Stegostoma tigrinum: one gene and its partner. The protein of the gene in region 1 interacts with the protein of each later gene in a pairwise test. Links are inferred from orthologs where the notes say so. Each region holds a gene or a part of one and is shown in the gene's direction. Other genes may lie near its edges. The genes, in order: mtmr9 and EMILIN-1-A-like.

Evidence for each region.
Region 2: the proteins of mtmr9 (region 1) and EMILIN-1-A-like interact in binary tests that used the Homo sapiens proteins (3 or more experiments, as listed by UniProt). The link is inferred for Stegostoma tigrinum from reciprocal best matches to the Homo sapiens genes MTMR9 and EMILIN1.

Annotation. Positions count from the first base shown.
Region 1 is NC_081357.1:78,593,797-78,602,656, forward strand, and holds the start of mtmr9 (myotubularin-related protein 9), read left to right. Parts: upstream 1-5,221; 5' UTR 5,222-5,294; coding exon 5,295-5,476; intron 5,477-7,899; coding exon 7,900-8,008; intron 8,009-8,860. UniProt on the Homo sapiens protein: Acts as an adapter for myotubularin-related phosphatases. Increases lipid phosphatase MTMR6 catalytic activity, specifically towards phosphatidylinositol 3,5-bisphosphate and MTMR6 binding affinity for phosphorylated phosphatidylinositols.
Region 2 is NC_081362.1:99,071,157-99,079,507, forward strand, and holds the start of EMILIN-1-A-like, read left to right. Parts: upstream 1-5,001; 5' UTR 5,002-5,547; coding exon 5,548-5,702; intron 5,703-8,351. UniProt on the Homo sapiens protein: Involved in elastic and collagen fibers formation. It is required for EFEMP2 deposition into the extracellular matrix, and collagen network assembly and cross-linking via protein-lysine 6-oxidase/LOX activity.

The DNA of each region.
Region 1 (8,860 bases):
ACCCCACCTCTTCCTCCGGTACATTGATGACTGTATCGGCGCCACCTCTTGCTCCCCAGAGGAGCTCGAACAGTTCATCCACTTCACCAACACCTTCCACCCCAACCTTCAGTTCACCTGGGCCATCTCCAGCACATCCCTCACCTTCCTGGACCTCTCAGTCTCCATCTCAGGCAACCAGCTTGTAACTGAGGTCCATTTCAAGCCCACCGACTCCCACAGCTACCTAGAATACACCTCCTCCCACCCACCCTCCTGTAAAAATTCCATCCCCTATTCCCACTTCCTCCGCCTCTGCCGCATCTGCTCCCACGATAAGACATTCCACTCCCGCACATCCCAGATGTCCAAGTTCTTCAAGGACCGCAACTTTCCCCCCACAGTGATCGAGAACGCCCTTGATCACGTCTCCTGTATTTCCCGCAACACATCCCTCACACCCCGCCCCCGCCACAACTGCCCTAAGAGGATCCCCCTCGTTCTCACACACCACCCTACCAACCTCCGGATACAACGCACCATCCTCCGACACTTTCGCCATTTACAATCCGACCCCACCACCCAAGACATTTTTCCATCCCCACCCCTGTCTGCTTTCCGGAGAGACCGCTCTCTCCGTGACTCCCTTGTTCGTTCCACACTGCCCTCCAACCTCACCACACCCGGCACCTTCCCCTGCAACCGCAGGAAATGCAACACTTGCCCCCACACCTCCTCCCTCACCCCAATCCCAGGCCCCAAGATGACATTCCACATTAAGCAGAGGTTCACCTGCACATCTGCCAATGTGGTATACTGCATCCACTGTACCCGGTGCGGCTTCCTCTACATTGGGGAAACCAAGCGGAGGCTTGGAGACCGCTTTGCAGAACACCTCCGCTCAGTTCGCAACAAACAACTGCACCTCCCAGTCGCAAACCATTTCCACTCCCCCTCCCATTCTCTAGATGACATGTCCATCATGGGCCTCCTGCACTGCCACAATGATGCCACCCGAAGGTTGCAGGAACAGCAACTCATATTCCGCCTGGGAACCCTGCAGCCTAATGGTATCAATGTGGACTTCACCAGTTTCAAAATCTCCCCTTCCCCTACTGCATCCCTAAACCAGCCCAGTTCGTCCCCTCCCCCCACTGCACCACACAACCAGCCCAGCTCTTCCCCCCCACCCACTGCATCCCAAAACCAGTCCAACCTGTCTCTGCCTCCCTAACCAGTTCTTCCTCTCACCCATCCCTTCCTCCTACCCCAAGCCGCACCCCCATCTACCTACTAACCTCATCCCACCTCCTTGACCTGTCCGTCTTCCCTGGACTGACCTATCCCCTCCCTACCTCCCCACCTATACTCTCTCCACCTATCTTCTTTACTCTCCATCTTCGGTCCGCCTCCCCTTCTCTCCCTATTTATTCCAGTTCCCTCTCCCCATCCCCCTCTCTGATGAAGGGTCTAGGCCCGAAATGTCAGCTTTTGTGCTCCTGGGATGCTGCTTGGCCTGCTGTGTTCATCCAGCCTCACATTTTATTGTCTTGGAATTCTCCAGCATCTGCAGTTCCCATTATCTCCAAAAGTAGAGGGTATGGGTTTGAGGTGAGATGGTGATGGTGGAGAGGGCTGACCAGTCAAGGAGTTGAACATGTTACTGTGTAGCAGATGTGAAAACTCGAGTTCCTTCAATAAAACTGTGGTATCTTCCTTGGTTCCTGACAGGTTATCTGCTCTCTGATCTCACATGAATAAGCAGTATCTGGAGCCATAGAGTCAGCATTGAAACAGACTCTTTATTCTAACTTATCCGTGCCAACCAGGTATTCTAAAATGATCTTGTCGCATTTGCCAGGTCTTAGCCCATAGACGTCTACACCCTTCCTATTCACGCACCAATCCAAATGCCTTTTAAATGCCGTAATTGTAATCACTTCCACCACCTTTCCTAGCAGCTCATTCCATTACACACACCACCATCAGTGTAAAAATGTCCCCCCCCACCCCAATCCTTTTAAATCTTTCCCCTCTCACCTGAAACCTTTGCCCCCTGATTTGGACTCCACTACCTTGGGAAAATGACCTTGGCTATTAACCCTCTAAATGCTCGACATGTTATTTGGTTGCTCGAAAGATTGGGCAATTGTTGCTTGGTGCCTTCGGGCCCAGCTGACCCAGGTCTGCTGACAGTATCCTGCCAAGATGCATGCAAGTCAAACAGCTGCAGACTGGGATCAGTGATGGGAAAACTGGAGAGGTCAGACACCTCTAAGGTGTCCTGAGAAGAAGCTTCTGGGGACTGTATGTATGTATGTGTGTGTGTGTGTGTGTGTGTGTGTGTGTGTGTGTGTGTGTGTGTGTGTGTGTGTGTCTGTGTGTGTGTGTGTCTGTGTGTGTGTGTGTCTGTGTGTGTGTGTGTGTGTGGTTCCTTCTGTCTCCTGGTACTTCCTGGCACCAACCTGCCTCCCTGAGAGGAAGAGCTACTTGGAATGAGAACATGTTTCCCTTCAACATTCAAAGGAAAAAAAGCCCAACCTGTTCAGCCTCTTCCTGTATTTCAAATGCTCAAATTTCAGCAACATCCTTGTAAATCTTTTCTGAACTCTTTCAAGTTTAACAACAGCTTTCCTAAAGCAGGGAGACCAGAACTGAACACAGTATTCTAAAAGTGGCCTCACCAATGTTCTGTACAGTCACAACACAATGTCCCAAATCCTATACTCAATGCACTAACCAAAAACAATATAAAAGGAGACAACTACATCAGGAGGATAAGAAAGTTCCAGTGCTAAAAGCACATGTTCCAGAGGGAGAAACAGCAGGTGAAGATCCACCAAGGAGACAAGGGAATATAAAGAGATCCCACATCTGCAGGCATTGCCGTCATTTTCGTCATCTCTGCCAGACTTGAATGTCAGTGGCCTCCCTTGCTAAGTTGATGCGTCACACTAACTTTCCCTATAGAAATGTGTAAAATCACCACTGATTCCACACTCGCCACCAGAAGGTGGTTTTCAGTATGGAATTGTGTGTCCACAGCAGACCTAAGCGCATTTCTTGCACATTGCATTTGGCCTTAACATTGTCCAAGTGGAACACCTTGGCTGCCGTCCTTAATGCCGCATTTTAAGGATTGCTGAGGCTATCCGCTTTCAAGCAGTCAGTTGCTTGTGAGTGAAGAGCAATACTTGGCAATTGGAACTCCTTTCTTTCTTGGGGTATTGGAGAAGATGCTGCCGATCTTTCACACGGATGATACATAACCAGGTCTGACAACGAAAATTATATAGATATTTTAGCAGTGCAAACTAATATGCATTTACAAAAGTGGAAGATTAGTTATAATGATATTTCATCCGTGTCTCCACTATGTTCTCAGTAATTTGTTTTCTTCCCCTCTTCATACTCTTTTAAATGCAGTCCTGATCTCTGCAATGGGGTCAGAGGAAGCATAGTATGTGGATGCTCTGAATATTCGGGCACTTGTTCCCTGGTGCCTTTGGGCCAAGATGACCCAGGTCTGCTGACAGTATCCTGTCAAGATGCATGCTAATCATCCTCAAGTTGAAGAGCTGCAGACTGGAATCAGAGGTGGGCAAACTGGAGAGGCTGGACACCTCTCAGGTGTCCTGAGGAGAAATTTCTAGGGGTTACGTGTGGCTCTTTCTACCTCTTTGGTATCTGCCATTACCAAGCTGTCTCCCTGACAGGAAGAGCCACTTGGAATGAGAATGACTTTCCATATCCCCCTTGCAAATGATGCTGACTAACAATGGATATAACAACGGAATGTAATCTATACCCATATTTTTCAAACACTTAAAGTGCTCGAGTTGGGTGTCCATGGTGCTTTATCTGACCATGTCAACTTGTCTGACAGCTGGATGCACACAGCCAAGTGCTAGCACTGTACTGATTAAATTGGTGGACTCCTCCATCTTTCAATTAGATTACAAAGTGCTTCTGACACGCCTACCTGATGTTCCTGTGTCTGTCTGCTTTTTGGAAAAGTCAATAATGGTTGGGAACAAGCTCCTGTTCTGCCTGCAGTCCAACAGTTGCCTGGTCTCTGGTTGCCCTCTGAGTATTACAGACAAAGGTGTTCCTTTGTCAATCAGCTACAGTCAGTGATGTGCTCAACAGATCATGTTCCCAAGTCTAATTTAGAAAGTGTAGAACACCAAAGTGAAAGTCTCTGAGCTGGTAGAGAGTGAAGGTGAAAGCCTCTGTCAATGCATCCTCTAGGAATTCAGTAGCTTCCTCAGCAGAGGTGGAAGTGCAGCTGACAATCTCCAGCACTGGTCTCTTTGTGCAGGTTTGCCGGGTTTGCTCACGCTTACATAATAGAAGTGCAGAAGAGAGTTGACAAAGAGGAATAAAATGTGTTGGTTATAATGGGGGATTAGTAAAGTGCAGAAGAGCACAATGAAGCTTACTTGGTGGATTGGCTATTGTGGACTCTCCATTACCAAGTGAAGAATTATGCTCTTCTCCACGCAGATCAGAATTTTCTCCTCAAAGGGACCGAGGAGCCTGATGTCACCACCTCTCTGCAACTCTTGGACCCAGGTCACCTAGGTTGCTGACCTCATCTACTACTTCTGACCACCTGTCTTGATCTGGCAGAATGGCCTTCTCATGCCATCTTCAGTTAAGAGCACCTCCCATCATTTCCTGATAGCCTTGAGGAATTTCAGGAACTTCAAACAGTGAACTCTATTCTCTGATACTTTCCTAAGCATCTACCCCAAGCATACGGTCTTCTTGGTTTTGATGTTCAGCAGAGCTGAGTTACATTTTGCTGTGAACTCTTTGCCTTTCGCTCTTTCACGACTAATCCCTTGCCTTCTAACCTTTATTTTTCTACTTGTTCCTTTCACCTTGTTCTGCAGCTAAAAATCCATCACTTTTCTGATTCTCCCTTCACTTCTGAACAATTCACATTGGACTGGAAACCTGAATTCTATTCCTCTCAGCTGCTTCCGGACCTGCCGATTTTCTCTAACTTTGTTTTTTTTATCTATTTGAGCCGTGGTGGCTGTCAGGTTGGAGGAGAGAGTGATCTAGAAGGCGTTTGGCATGTTGACTGTAATTCGGCGTGAAGCAATCTCAGGCCTTCTGGCCAAACGAACGAAATCCATTGCTAACCTTTCTGAGACGGAAACGTCAACAATCAGTGAATTCTGGTCGGAACCACGACTCGGGAAGTTGTCTTTCGGGGGCAATGCACTGCGGGACCTGTCTTCCGTCGAGTGGTTGGTGCGCAGGTTATTGTGGTCCGGACACTGCGGGTTCCGGGAGGGTGGACGATGGAGTTCGCGGAGCTGATTAAGACTCCGCGGGTGGACAATGTGGTCCTTCACCGGCCTTTCCTGCCGCGGGTGGAGGGCACCCTGTGTCTGACCGGGCACCACTTGATCCTCTCCTCCCGCCAGGATAACAGTGAGGAGCTCTGGCTACTGCACAACAACATCGACGCCATCGAGAAAAGGTGAGTGAGGCTGGAGTCGGGCTTCGAGCAGCGGCGACTGTGTAGCAGGCAAGTAGCCGGACCTAACCTCACTTGTACGGTTTATGTGTCAACAGATTTGGCCACGAGCTCGTAAACTCTAACAGCTTAGAAATAAACTATAAATTTCCGACGAAGGGTTTCGGCTCAACAGATTGACTTCCCTGCTCATTGGATGCTGTCAGACCTGCTGTGGCTTTCCAAGCTCCAGTTTTATTGACTTATAGTCAACCATACCCATGTCCAGTTATTTGGAGCAGTCTAGAAGATCGCCCCATTTCCTTGTTTTTTGTTTTCCTACAGGTTTCGCAACTATGTTACACTAATCACTAAAATTCAGTTTCGCTTTATCTGCTCCCGTGGAGATGTTGTCTCTTTCTCCAACTGTAATGTCCTGTCTCTCGAGTATTGACCAGAAATCTGTCACTGTATGTTGTAATTGCGGCTCACACACTGTACTTGCACGAATTTGTCTTTTGTATGAAACAAATGTTTAAGAGGTGGAGTCATAGAATCCCTACAGTATGGAAGCAGGCTATTCGTCTCAAGTCCGCATCGAACCTCCGAAGATTACTCTTCCAGAACCCCTATCCCTTGCCTACTCCACATAGCCTGCACGTCCCTGGACACCGTGGGCAATTTAGAATGGCCAATCTACGTAGCTTGCATTTCTTTGGACTGAGGGAAGAAACCGGTAAACTTGGAGGAAGCCGCGCAGACACGGGGAGAATATGCGCACTTCCACGCAAATAGTCGTCCAACGGTGGAAGCCAACCTCGGTCCACCGTGATAGCCACTGTGCCAAATGTTTGCAATCTGTCAGTGAAGTGTGGGTCTCTTTCAAAGTCCATTTTACTACAGTACTCGTATTATTACTTGTTGAGATTTGTGTGCCTTTGCCTGCAGGTGTCTTTATTCACATCCTTTATGTCTATCAATCATCATTGACCGTCTGTATCAAACAATATTGCTATAGTTGCAACTGCAAGGTTAATTAAATCCATTGTCAACTTCAGGCTGTTCAATAAATACTTGCCAATGTAAAAGCACTGTAAGAAGGTGTAAATAGCTGATTGAAACCGCTCGATTGGGATTAAGAGTGTTAGGATTCTGGGTGCAATTTGTTAAGTAGAAATGGGAAAATCCTGTTTTATAAAAATATAAGTTAATCTACTTTTTGATTTTTGCCATCTGACACATGTTGATGTGAACACCACTTATCTACATGATTGCTAGCAGCAGTGGGGGCTGTATTTCAGTTGACTTTATTTCCATACGGGTTTAGTCCTTACTTCCTAAAGTTAAGTTAAACTGTCACTTGACTGACAGAGGGTCACTGGACTTAACTTGACTCTGCATTCTCTCCACAGATGCTGCCAGACCTGAGTTTCTCCAGTAATTTCTGTTTTTGGTTCATTTCTGGCATCCATAGTCGTTCCTTTCAATTCACGTAGATTAGTTTGAAAGCATAATTGTATAAAGGTATAGGGGACAGTACAAGTGACCAAGAGTTTACAAGGATCATTGAGGCAGAAATTGGGTAATAGCATGGAAGACTCAAAGAAAAGACAAATACGAGTTGTATTCAGTGGAGATGGTTTCGCGACAAGGCACCTTATACTTTTTTAAACTTACCACGTGAGCTGTGTGATAAGATATCACTTAGATTATTTTGTTTTTTAAACAGTCAGTGTTACACAGCAATAACGTATCAACGTAGTCCACAAAGGAGGGCTCAGCAATTTAAAATAATTAGAAGAATCCTTCACATTATGCATGACTAACTTTAAAATTTATAAAAGTACGTTTCAATAAGTGTTGCCTTGAGATCTATTCCCCAGGTGCTGAGCAAGTCATCTTTGGTGGCAGACCCATAGGTTTCTGTTTCTTGGATCAGTAAATTTATCTACCCAGTGAAAGAACAAATTAAGATGCATAAATCCCAGTCTTTCTGAGTCTTACTTAAAACCATGCCATTATGAAAGCAGCTCTGGGCAATGCTCTAATCATTGGAGAAAGAAAAAATAAATCATAATTCTCTTTATTTTCAGTTATTGCCAAAAGAAAATCTAACTCTTAACCTAATTCATCATTTTGCAGGACTGCACAATGAAAATAACTTAAATTCTGTGTCTCCAGTATGTAGCACCGTCTGACTGAAATATTCCATACTTGAAGAGAAATCAGCACTAGGACCCATCCCACTGTACACTGCAAACTCCTTTTGATCACCACATTGTACAACGAACAATAGCCCTACATAAATCTGACTGACACTGTCATGAATTCCAGGCTAATAGGGAGTGTTAATGCTAATAAAGCCATTTCTCGAAAGCGCAGAATTTTTAAAAAAATGACGTATAAATACCGCTGTTATTAAGTAGATTGTATTTCTTTATTTCCAGGTTTGTGGGAACATTGGGTTCAATTACAATTAAATGTAAGGATCTGCGTATCATTCACTTGGATATTCCTGGCATGGAAGAATGTTTAAATATCGCAAGCTCTATTGAGGTGAGATTTTTTTATTGATCAGTTGTTTTCCAAGTTATGATAAATTATTATTAGAATAGAGCTTCTCAAAAGATTTGATTTAGTGCTGAGGATCAGGCAGAATGAATATTCCTTTTTTGGTTATGATATGCTTTAGTTCTAACTTCAAAAGTACACTCTTGCTGTAGCTTTGATTTTTTTTTCAGCTGTGCTTTGGCTTTCTGAGTAATAATGAGTGTATTACGGATAGTCCAGGTTTGTTTTGAACACAAGACAGTGTGTTGAGATGCTGAAACTTCTTTTTGTCAAATTATTGTAGCCTGTTGAGATAATTTTGACTTTTAAACCTAGGTCCAAATTCAGTGAAACAATAACAACTTCTCAAATGTTATTTGACTGTTTCAGTGAAGATTTTAATGTGTAGTGTTGGAAGTATTTATCCAGTCTTAACATACAGCTCATTGAATGATCCTATTCCTTTCGATTTGTTTTTGTTTCCTGTTGGCCATTATAAGGCCATCATGCATTATCTAATCTTAATATCATTTGAGATTTAACAGTGGGCTGCATACTGAATCATTGTTGCCCGTATGATCTGAAGGAACTCCCATGGTGATTAAACAGGAAGTTGCTGTGCATTGAACCAGCAATGATGGAGGAATAACGAATGATGTATATCTGATTGACAAGTGTCCCTGTGCAGTTACTGCCTTGACTTTTCTGTGTGTTGTAAACTGTTGGTTCTAGAGATATTTTTGAAGAAACTGTGACTTCCATGATAGAAATAGAATTGCATTTGCCATTCACATGTTTGAGAAGAATTGAAATTTGTCATGTGTTAAATTTAGAGGGAAGTTCTTGATCAGTGAAAAG
Region 2 (8,351 bases), on another chromosome or scaffold:
ACCCGGTGTGGCTTCCTCTACATTGGGGAAACCAAGCGGAGGCTTGGAGACCGCTTTGCAGAACACCTCCGCTCAGTTCGCAACAAACAACTGCACCTCCCAGTCGCAAACCATTTCCACTCCCCCTCCCATTCTCTGGATGACATGTCCATCATGGGCCTCCTGCACTGCCACAATGATGCCACCCGAAGGTTGCAGGAACAGCAACTCATATTCCGCCTGGGAACCCTGCAGCCTAATGGTATCAATGTGGACTTCACCAGTTTCAAAATCTCCCCTTCCCCTACTACATCCCTAAACCAGCCCAGTTCGTCCCCTCCCCCCACTGCACCACACAACCAGCCCAGCTCTTCCCCCCCACCCACTGCATCCCAAAACCAGTCCAACCTGTCTCTGCCTCCCTAACCGGTTCTTCCTCTCACCCATCCCTTCCTCCCACCCCAAGCCGCACCCCCATCTACCTACTAACCTCATCCCACCTCCTTGACCTGTCCGTCTTCCCTGGACTGACCTATCCCCTCCCTACCTCCCCACCTATACTCTCTCCACCTATCTTCTTTACTCTCCATCTTCAGTCCGCCTCCCCCTCTCTCCCTATTTATTCCAGTTCCCTCTCCCCATCCCCCTCTCTGATGAAGGTTCCAGGCCCGAAACGTCAGCTTTTTGTGCTCCTGAGATGCTGCTTGGCCTGCTGTGTTCATCCAGCCTCACGTTTTATTATTTTGAGATAAGTGGAGTTTTCAGTTGGCAGACTAATTAGTGGAGTGCCCCAGGGATCAGTGCTGACTTGTTAACTACTGTATTTAGAATCTGTATTAATGATAAGGAGACAAGTTGTTTTGTCACAGCTCACCTCCACTTTCTCACAGCTAGAATGGGTAACAAATGTTAGTGATGTCCACATCATTAAATGCACAATGCAGAGTCTGCACAGGGATGCAAATAGATGTAAGAGTGGACAAAAGTTTTCCACTTCAAATACATTGTAGGAAAATGTGAAGATTGGCAGATACAACAGAAAAGCAGAATATGACTTTTATAAGAGTCTGCAGAATACTGCATTAAAGATGGATCAGGGTGTCCTTATACATGAATTGCAAAAAAGCAATTAGCTTGCTGATACAGCAAAACAAATGGAATGTAGCTGTTTTTTGTGGGGAGGAATGGAGTGTTAAAGAAAGGAAGTCTTACTACAACCATACAGGGTATTGCTGAGACTGACCCTGGTGTATAATTATACAGTTAGAGTCTCCTTATTTCAGAAGGGATGTTCTTGCATTGGGAGCAGTTCGGATACTCTTCATTTGGCTGTTTTGGGACAATGCTCATTAGAGTTCGGAAGAATGAAGGGTGATTTTATTGAAATATATTAGATTCTGAAGGGCCTTGATGGGATTGAGATGGTGACTACGGAAATCTTTCATCTCGTGGGGGTATCTAGAACGAGGCAGTACAGTTTAGAGATGAAAAGACTCCCATTTAAGACAGAGATGATGAAGAACTTCTTCTGGATAATTGTTAACATCTGGAATTCTCTTGCCCGGACAGCAGCAGAGACTACACTGTTGAATATATTCAAAACTGAGTTAAACATGTTTTTGGTCAATAATTATTGGAAGGGCAAAAGTACCTTTTATTATTTCCTGAATGCCACAACCAAATCAGCCATGCTCTTTATTGAATTATACAGCAGAGTGGGTGGGCCAAATGGCCTACACCTGCTCCCTCTTTTTATAGTTTTATATTCCTGTGTGGAGTGAAATGACATGGATAGTGGGAGTAGAGAATGGAATCCACATAAGACTAACAAATATAGCCATTGGAAGATCTGGTTTATGTGTGGATCAGAAACAGGGTGAATATCTTTAGTGTATTGGGGTTTCCAAGGATAAACTTGTTTCTGTATTCAAGTCCTTGTGCAATGAAGGCCTCTTCACTGCCTTTTGCACCTGTGCACTTACTTTCAGCAACTGGTGCTCAAGGACATCCAGATCTGTTTTTGATGAAGGGCCTGGGCTCGAAACATCAGCCTTCCTGCTCTGCTGATGCTGCTTGGCCTGCTGTGTTCATCCAGCTCTACACCTTGTTATCTCGGGTTCTCCAGCATCTGCAGTTCCCATAATTTCTATTCCAGATCTCACTGATCATTCTCCCTGTCTCACACTTACTGTCATTCACATAATAATCTGCCTTCCGGTCCTATCAAATTGGATAACCTCACATTCATCTACATTAAACTATATCTGCCTTGCATTTGCCTACTCATTCAGCTTGTCCCAATCACATTGCAACATCTATGCATCCTCCTCACAGTTCATCCTACCATCCAGCTTTGTAGCATCTGCAAATTTTGAGATATTACATCTAGTTCCCTCATCTAAATCATTAACATGTCCATGAACAGCTGAGGTGCTGGGTGGAAGTGGATAGGGGGCATCAAGCAAGAATTGGGAGATGGCCTCTAAATGCGGGGGGAAAAGAAGCTGTAGGGATGCAGCTGCATTGTGGCAATGTCACTGTGCTTGTAATGCAGAACCCCAGGCTAATGCTTTGGGGAATTCAATAAAAAGTAGCCTCATACAAATCATGTCACCGCTGTTTTTTGTTCTTAGAAACCCATCTGGTTCACTAATGTCCTTTAAGAAAGGAAATTTGCTATCCTGCCACCCTGTCTGGCCTACATGTGACTCCAGACCCACAACAGAGTGGAAGACCCTTAATGTTAGAGGAAATGGTAGAGGTGGGCGCAATACAATCTAGAAAAGACATTTGGACAGGTACATTTTTACGAAAGCTGTAGAGGGATACGAACCAAATGCAGACAAGTTGGACTAGTTCAGTTTAGGAAACTTGGTCGATGTGGACGAGTTGGACTGAAATAACAAAGTGTGGAGCTGGATGAACACAACAGGCCAAGCAGCATCTTAGGAGCACAAAAGCTGATGTTTCGGGCCTGGACCCTTCATCGGAAAAGGGGGAGGGGGAGAGGGTTCTGAAATGAATAGGGAGAGAGGGGGAAGCAGATTGAAGATGGATAGAGGAGAAGATAGGTGGAGAGGAGACAGACAAGTTAAAGGGACGGGGATGGAGCCTGTAGAGGTGAGTATAGGTGGGGAGGTAGGGAGGGGATAGGTCAGTCCGGGGAGGACGGACAGGCCAAGGAGATGGGATGAGGTTAGTAGGTAGGAAATGGAGGTGTGGCTTGAGGTGGGAGGAGGGGATAGGTGTGAGGAAGAACGGGTTAGGGAGGCAGGGACAAGCTGGGCTGGTTTTGGGATGCAGTGGAGGGAGGGGAGGTTTTGAAGCTTGTGAAGTCCACATTGATACCATTGGGCTACAAGGTTTCCGAGCGGAATATGAGGTGCTGTTCCTGCAACCTTCGGGTGGCATCGTTGTGGCACTGCAAGAGACCCAGGATGGACATCTCATCTAAGGAATGGGAGGGGAATTTGAAATGGTTCACGATTGGGAGGTGCAGTTGTTTATTGTGAACTGAGCGTAAGTGTTCTGCAAAGCGATCCCCAAGCCTCCGCTTGGTTTCCCCGATGTAGAGGAGGCCACAACGGGTACAGCGGATGCAGTGGAGAGATAATGGGAACTGTAGATGCTGGAGAATCTGAGATAACAAAGTGTGGAGCTGGATGAACACAGCAGGCCAAGCAGCATCTTAGGAGCACAATAGCTGTCGTTTCAGGCCTAGATCCTTAGCCCAAAATGCCAGCTTTTGTGCTGCTAAGATGCTGCTTGGCCTGCTGTGTTCATCCGCTCCACACTTTGCTAGCAGCGGATGCAGTACACCACATTGGCAGATGTGCAGGTGAACATCTGCTTGATGTGGAAAGTCTTCTTTGGGCCTGGGATGGGGGTGAGGGAGGAGGTGTGGGGGCAAGTGTAGCACTTCCTGCGGTTGCAGGGGAAAGTGCCGGGTGTGGTGGGGTTGGAGGGGAGTGTGGAGCAGACAAGGGAGTCCCGAAGAGAGTGGTCTCTCCAGAAAGTAGAGGGAGAGTCTGTTTCCACACTGTGTTCTCTGAAATGGCCCAAGCAAACCAATCAATTCAACTGGCAGTTAGGGATCAACAATAAATGCTCAATAAATTAACAACTAAAAGAAAATAAATGGCAGGAGAAATTGACTTGCGAAAGGAATTGTGGAACAGTAGTGTAACAGAGACAATGAAGGTGTAACTGTGCCAGCATTGAGCTGAAGGCTTTGTTCCTCAATGGGAGTTCCATTTCGGTCAATCCTGATGTGCTTCTCAGGATGTCTGTCTGTCTGGCTTAGCTATCTGTGCTTACAATACAGACTCTGTTCTTCCTCTTGGTCACAGATTAAAGCTCCATAAACTTTCCCTGGGGCCCCCTTCATCATGAAAGTACTGGCCAAGGCTGAAGTGTGATGCTGGAAATCGAACCTTGGCTTTTTCAATCACACCCCTAAGATTTAATCAGCTTCCAGTAAATGTAGCATGTGGAGATTTCAAAACAAACATAAGAACAGCAGAAGGAGTTTGTCATCCTTTAAATAGAAATCAGACAAGGGTCACAGAACCTGCTGAGACAGCAAGGTCCATTGGTGCCTCCATTTTAAAATTCTCATTCTGCTTTCAAATCCCTCAGCGGCCTTACCTGCTCTGCAACTTCCCCATGTCCTACCAATCTGGGAGGCTTCTGTGCCCCTTCCCTCTTCTGCTGTTTGTTTTAATTTACCCCATCTCTGGTAGGGTTCTGATCTTTACCGGGGGACAGCATGCTTCATCTGCGCTGTTCAAACCCTAAACTCTGGAATTACTTCCCAGAATCTCCTCACTTCAGACATTAAATACACTAACATCGGCATATCCTGAAGCACAGCTTTGTCTGTTGATGTTAGGGGCACTGGATAGTGTTAGCAAGGGGGAGGAGTGAAATGTGACAGGGGCAGAGGGGGAGGGAAGGGGTCGGGGGGGGGGGGGGTGAAGAGAGAAGGATTGGGGGGAGCATTTGCAGGAGGAAAAAGAGAGAGAGAGACAGCAGAGAGATCGGAGCGGGGTGAGTGTTGTGGGTAGAGGGCAGGAGATCAGAAAGAGGGGGGAAGAGGATTAAGGCAGAAGGGGGTACTTACCGTGGATTGGGACAGCCTTATGGGAGGAGTTCAGGTTTTCCGAGAATAAAAAGGGTTTTTGGCAGCGAAGCAATATTTTACATTCCGGAGGCTGAGATTAATTAGCTCCAGATGTGAGTCCCCGAGAGAGAGAAAGCAGGGAGTGAAAAATAGAGAGGGAGGGAGGGAGGAAAATCTTCGGAAAGGCAGCAGGAGAGAGAGAAAAAGAGACGGTGACAGAGAAAAAAACCCAGGCAAAGAACGAAGCAGAGTGTGGGAAAAGAGAGGGAGAGAAGTTTCAGGGAGCATTGAATGAAATAATCGACACAGGATCGAAAGGAACGTTTCCCAAGTTTGGAGAAGTTTCTCAGGAAGTGGCTGGAATCCCGGGAGGGATCCAGGCGCTGGTTGATCCCGGTTGATCCAGAATCCCTGTCGAGACTAGAGTTTGGTGAGCGCCTGCGAGCATGGCCAGGGCTCTCTGTCAGTTTCTCTACCTCCTGTCGATCCTGGTGCGGGCTGCGGCGGTCAGTTATCCCCAAAGATACCCCCTGTACTCGGCAGTCTCCGCGGAACACAGCAGCCAGGCGGAGCCCGGAGTGAGGGCAACCAGCAGGCACAGGTAAGGGAGAGGAGGAGAGAGAGGGCAGGGGTGGGGGTGAGGGGGAAAGGGTGAGTGTGTGGGGGTAGAGGAGAGGGAGAGAGAGGAATGGGAGGGGAAGGGAAGAGGTGAGTTGGGAACAGGGAAGAGGGAGAGAATGGAAGGAAGAGAGGGAGGGAAGAAGGGGAGAGGAAAGTGTGAGGTAGGGAGAGAAAGGAATTGGAAAGGGAGAAATGGAGAAAGAAGTAGGGGAGATGAAAGGGGGAGAGAGGGGAGTGAAAGATAGAGAAGTGAGATGGAGGAAGAGGGAGAGGAGGCTGAGAGAGAGTCAGGAGAACAGATTGAAGGGAGTGGGGAACAAAGGTGGATAGAGATGGAGAGAGAGAGGGAGAGGGAGATTGCGAGGAGGAGAAGAGAGGGAGGGGAGTGAGAGACACTGAGTGAGAAGTGTGGGAGGAAAAGAGAAAGGGAGAGTGGGTGGGGGCAAAGGAAGAGAGGTGGGTAAGGGGGAAGAGAGAGTGAGAGGTGAAATGGGGAAAGGGGACAGAAAGTGGGGGAGGAGGAGGAGAGAGGGAGAAGGAGGATTGGGGAATGGCTAGAGGGAGAGGGAGAAAGCAAGAAAGTCAAACAGAAATGGAGAGAGGGAGGGAGTGAGGGAAGAGAACAGGGGAGGAGGGATGTGGGAAAGGGGTGTGGTGATGAGGAGAGGGAGAGAAGGACAGAGAGGAAGGAGTAGAGACAGGGGAAAGGGTGAAAGAGTGAATTGAGGAGATGGAGGGAAGAGGGGTTCAAGCTGGAATATTGAATAGCTGGAATATTGATAGCTGGAATATTGAATTTCCAGAATGATGTGGGTTGTAGGGAGAAGTCGTATGAGTCTTTTTTCAGCGTCAGAGCAACTCCCAACTGGTTCTAGACATTGCGATAAGATTTTGTCTAGCAAGTGGTGAAATGCCTATTACCAGGAATTACTGTTCAGTATCTGTCTCATTAACACCAAATTTCACCTCATTAATATGCAACTCCCTTTTCTACCACATGGCAGATAGCAGCCAGACATCAAGGATTCCTGACATGAAATTCTGAGTGGCTACTGGGCAACCCCCATCCCAACGAGTGCTCCTCTGGCCATCCACCAGCTTCACACACACCCCAAGCCCACAGACACTGGCCACTATCATGGCAAATCTTGATCCACATGTAGTATAGTTCTGTAAATACTGCCCTGGAACCTCTCATTGAAAAGATGCTGCATTGTCACAGAGACAGGCATCAGCTCGTGGATCTCAGAGTTCTCTGAATAGTCACTTACTCATGTCTACTTCAATGCACAAAGCGTCTTTGCCTTGCCCTGCCCCACTCTCCCTTGACCTACCTTAACCGTGCCCTCTTTGTCCTGAGATCCTGAGCTTCTAGTTGCCTGCCATTTCCACACACCACTGCGTTCCCTGTCCAACTTCTTTGTCTAGTGCTTGCTGAAGTACTTCAACAAAGATCAGTGCAAGCCAGAAGAACAGCACTCCGTTTTCCACTTGGGAACGCTACAGCCTCAGGACTCAGTATTGAGTTCAACAACTTTAGGAACTGAACACCTTCCCCATACTTTCCCCACCCCAACACCCAAGGCTTTGATCTGCGATTATACATGACCCATTGTTAGCCACTAATATTCCCCATTAGCAGATATTCATTCTCCCAGACAGACTGTTATCTACTCCTTTGTCTGTTCAACTGTTCTTCTCTCTTTGGGCTCTATCCCCACCTATCGTTTACTCCCATTGAACTTTGTGGGAAGCGAGCAAAGTGATTGCTGGTCCCCTTACTGAGATTCTTGTATCATTTATAGCCACAGGTGAGGTACCGGAAGACTGAAGGTTGGCTAGCAGGGTACTATATATTTAAGTAAGCTGGTAAGGAAAATCCAGGAAACTGTAGACTGATAAGCCTGTCCTCAGTGGTGTGCAAGTTGTTGGAGGAGATCCTGAGGGATAGGCGTTATATGTATTCGAAAAGGCAAGGACTGGTTAGAGATAGCTGACATGGCTTTGTGTGTGGGAAGTTATGTCTCACTAACTTGATTGAGTTTTTTGAAGAAGTGACGAAGAGGATTGGTGAAGGCAGAGTGGTGGACATTGTCCTTACGTTTTCAGCAAGGTGTTTGACAAGATTCCTTATGGCAAATTGGTTAGCAAGGAGAGATCACATGGAATTCAGGGAGAGCTAGATTGTAAATTGGGAGAGGGGAGTGCGCAGCAGGACCTGGGTGTCCTTGTGCACCAGTCACATGCAGGCGCAGCAGGTGGTAAAGAAGGCAAATGGTATGTTGGGCTTCATTGCGAGAGGTTTTGAGTACAGGAGCAGGGATGTGTTGTTGCAGTTGTACAGGGCCTTGGTGAGACCACACCAAGAATATTATGTGCAGCTTTGGTCTCCCTTTTGCTCTCGAGGGAGTGCAGCAAAGGTTTACCGGGTTGATTCCGGGGATGGTGGGACTGACATATGAGGAGATATTGACTACGTTGGGATTGTTTTTGAGAGAGTTCAGACAAATGAGGAGGAGGGCGGGGTCTCATGGAGACTAACGGGACTGGACAGGGTAGATGCAGGGGGGGGGGATGTTCCCGATGGTGGCTGTGTCCAGAACCATGGGTCACAGTCTGAGGATTTGGA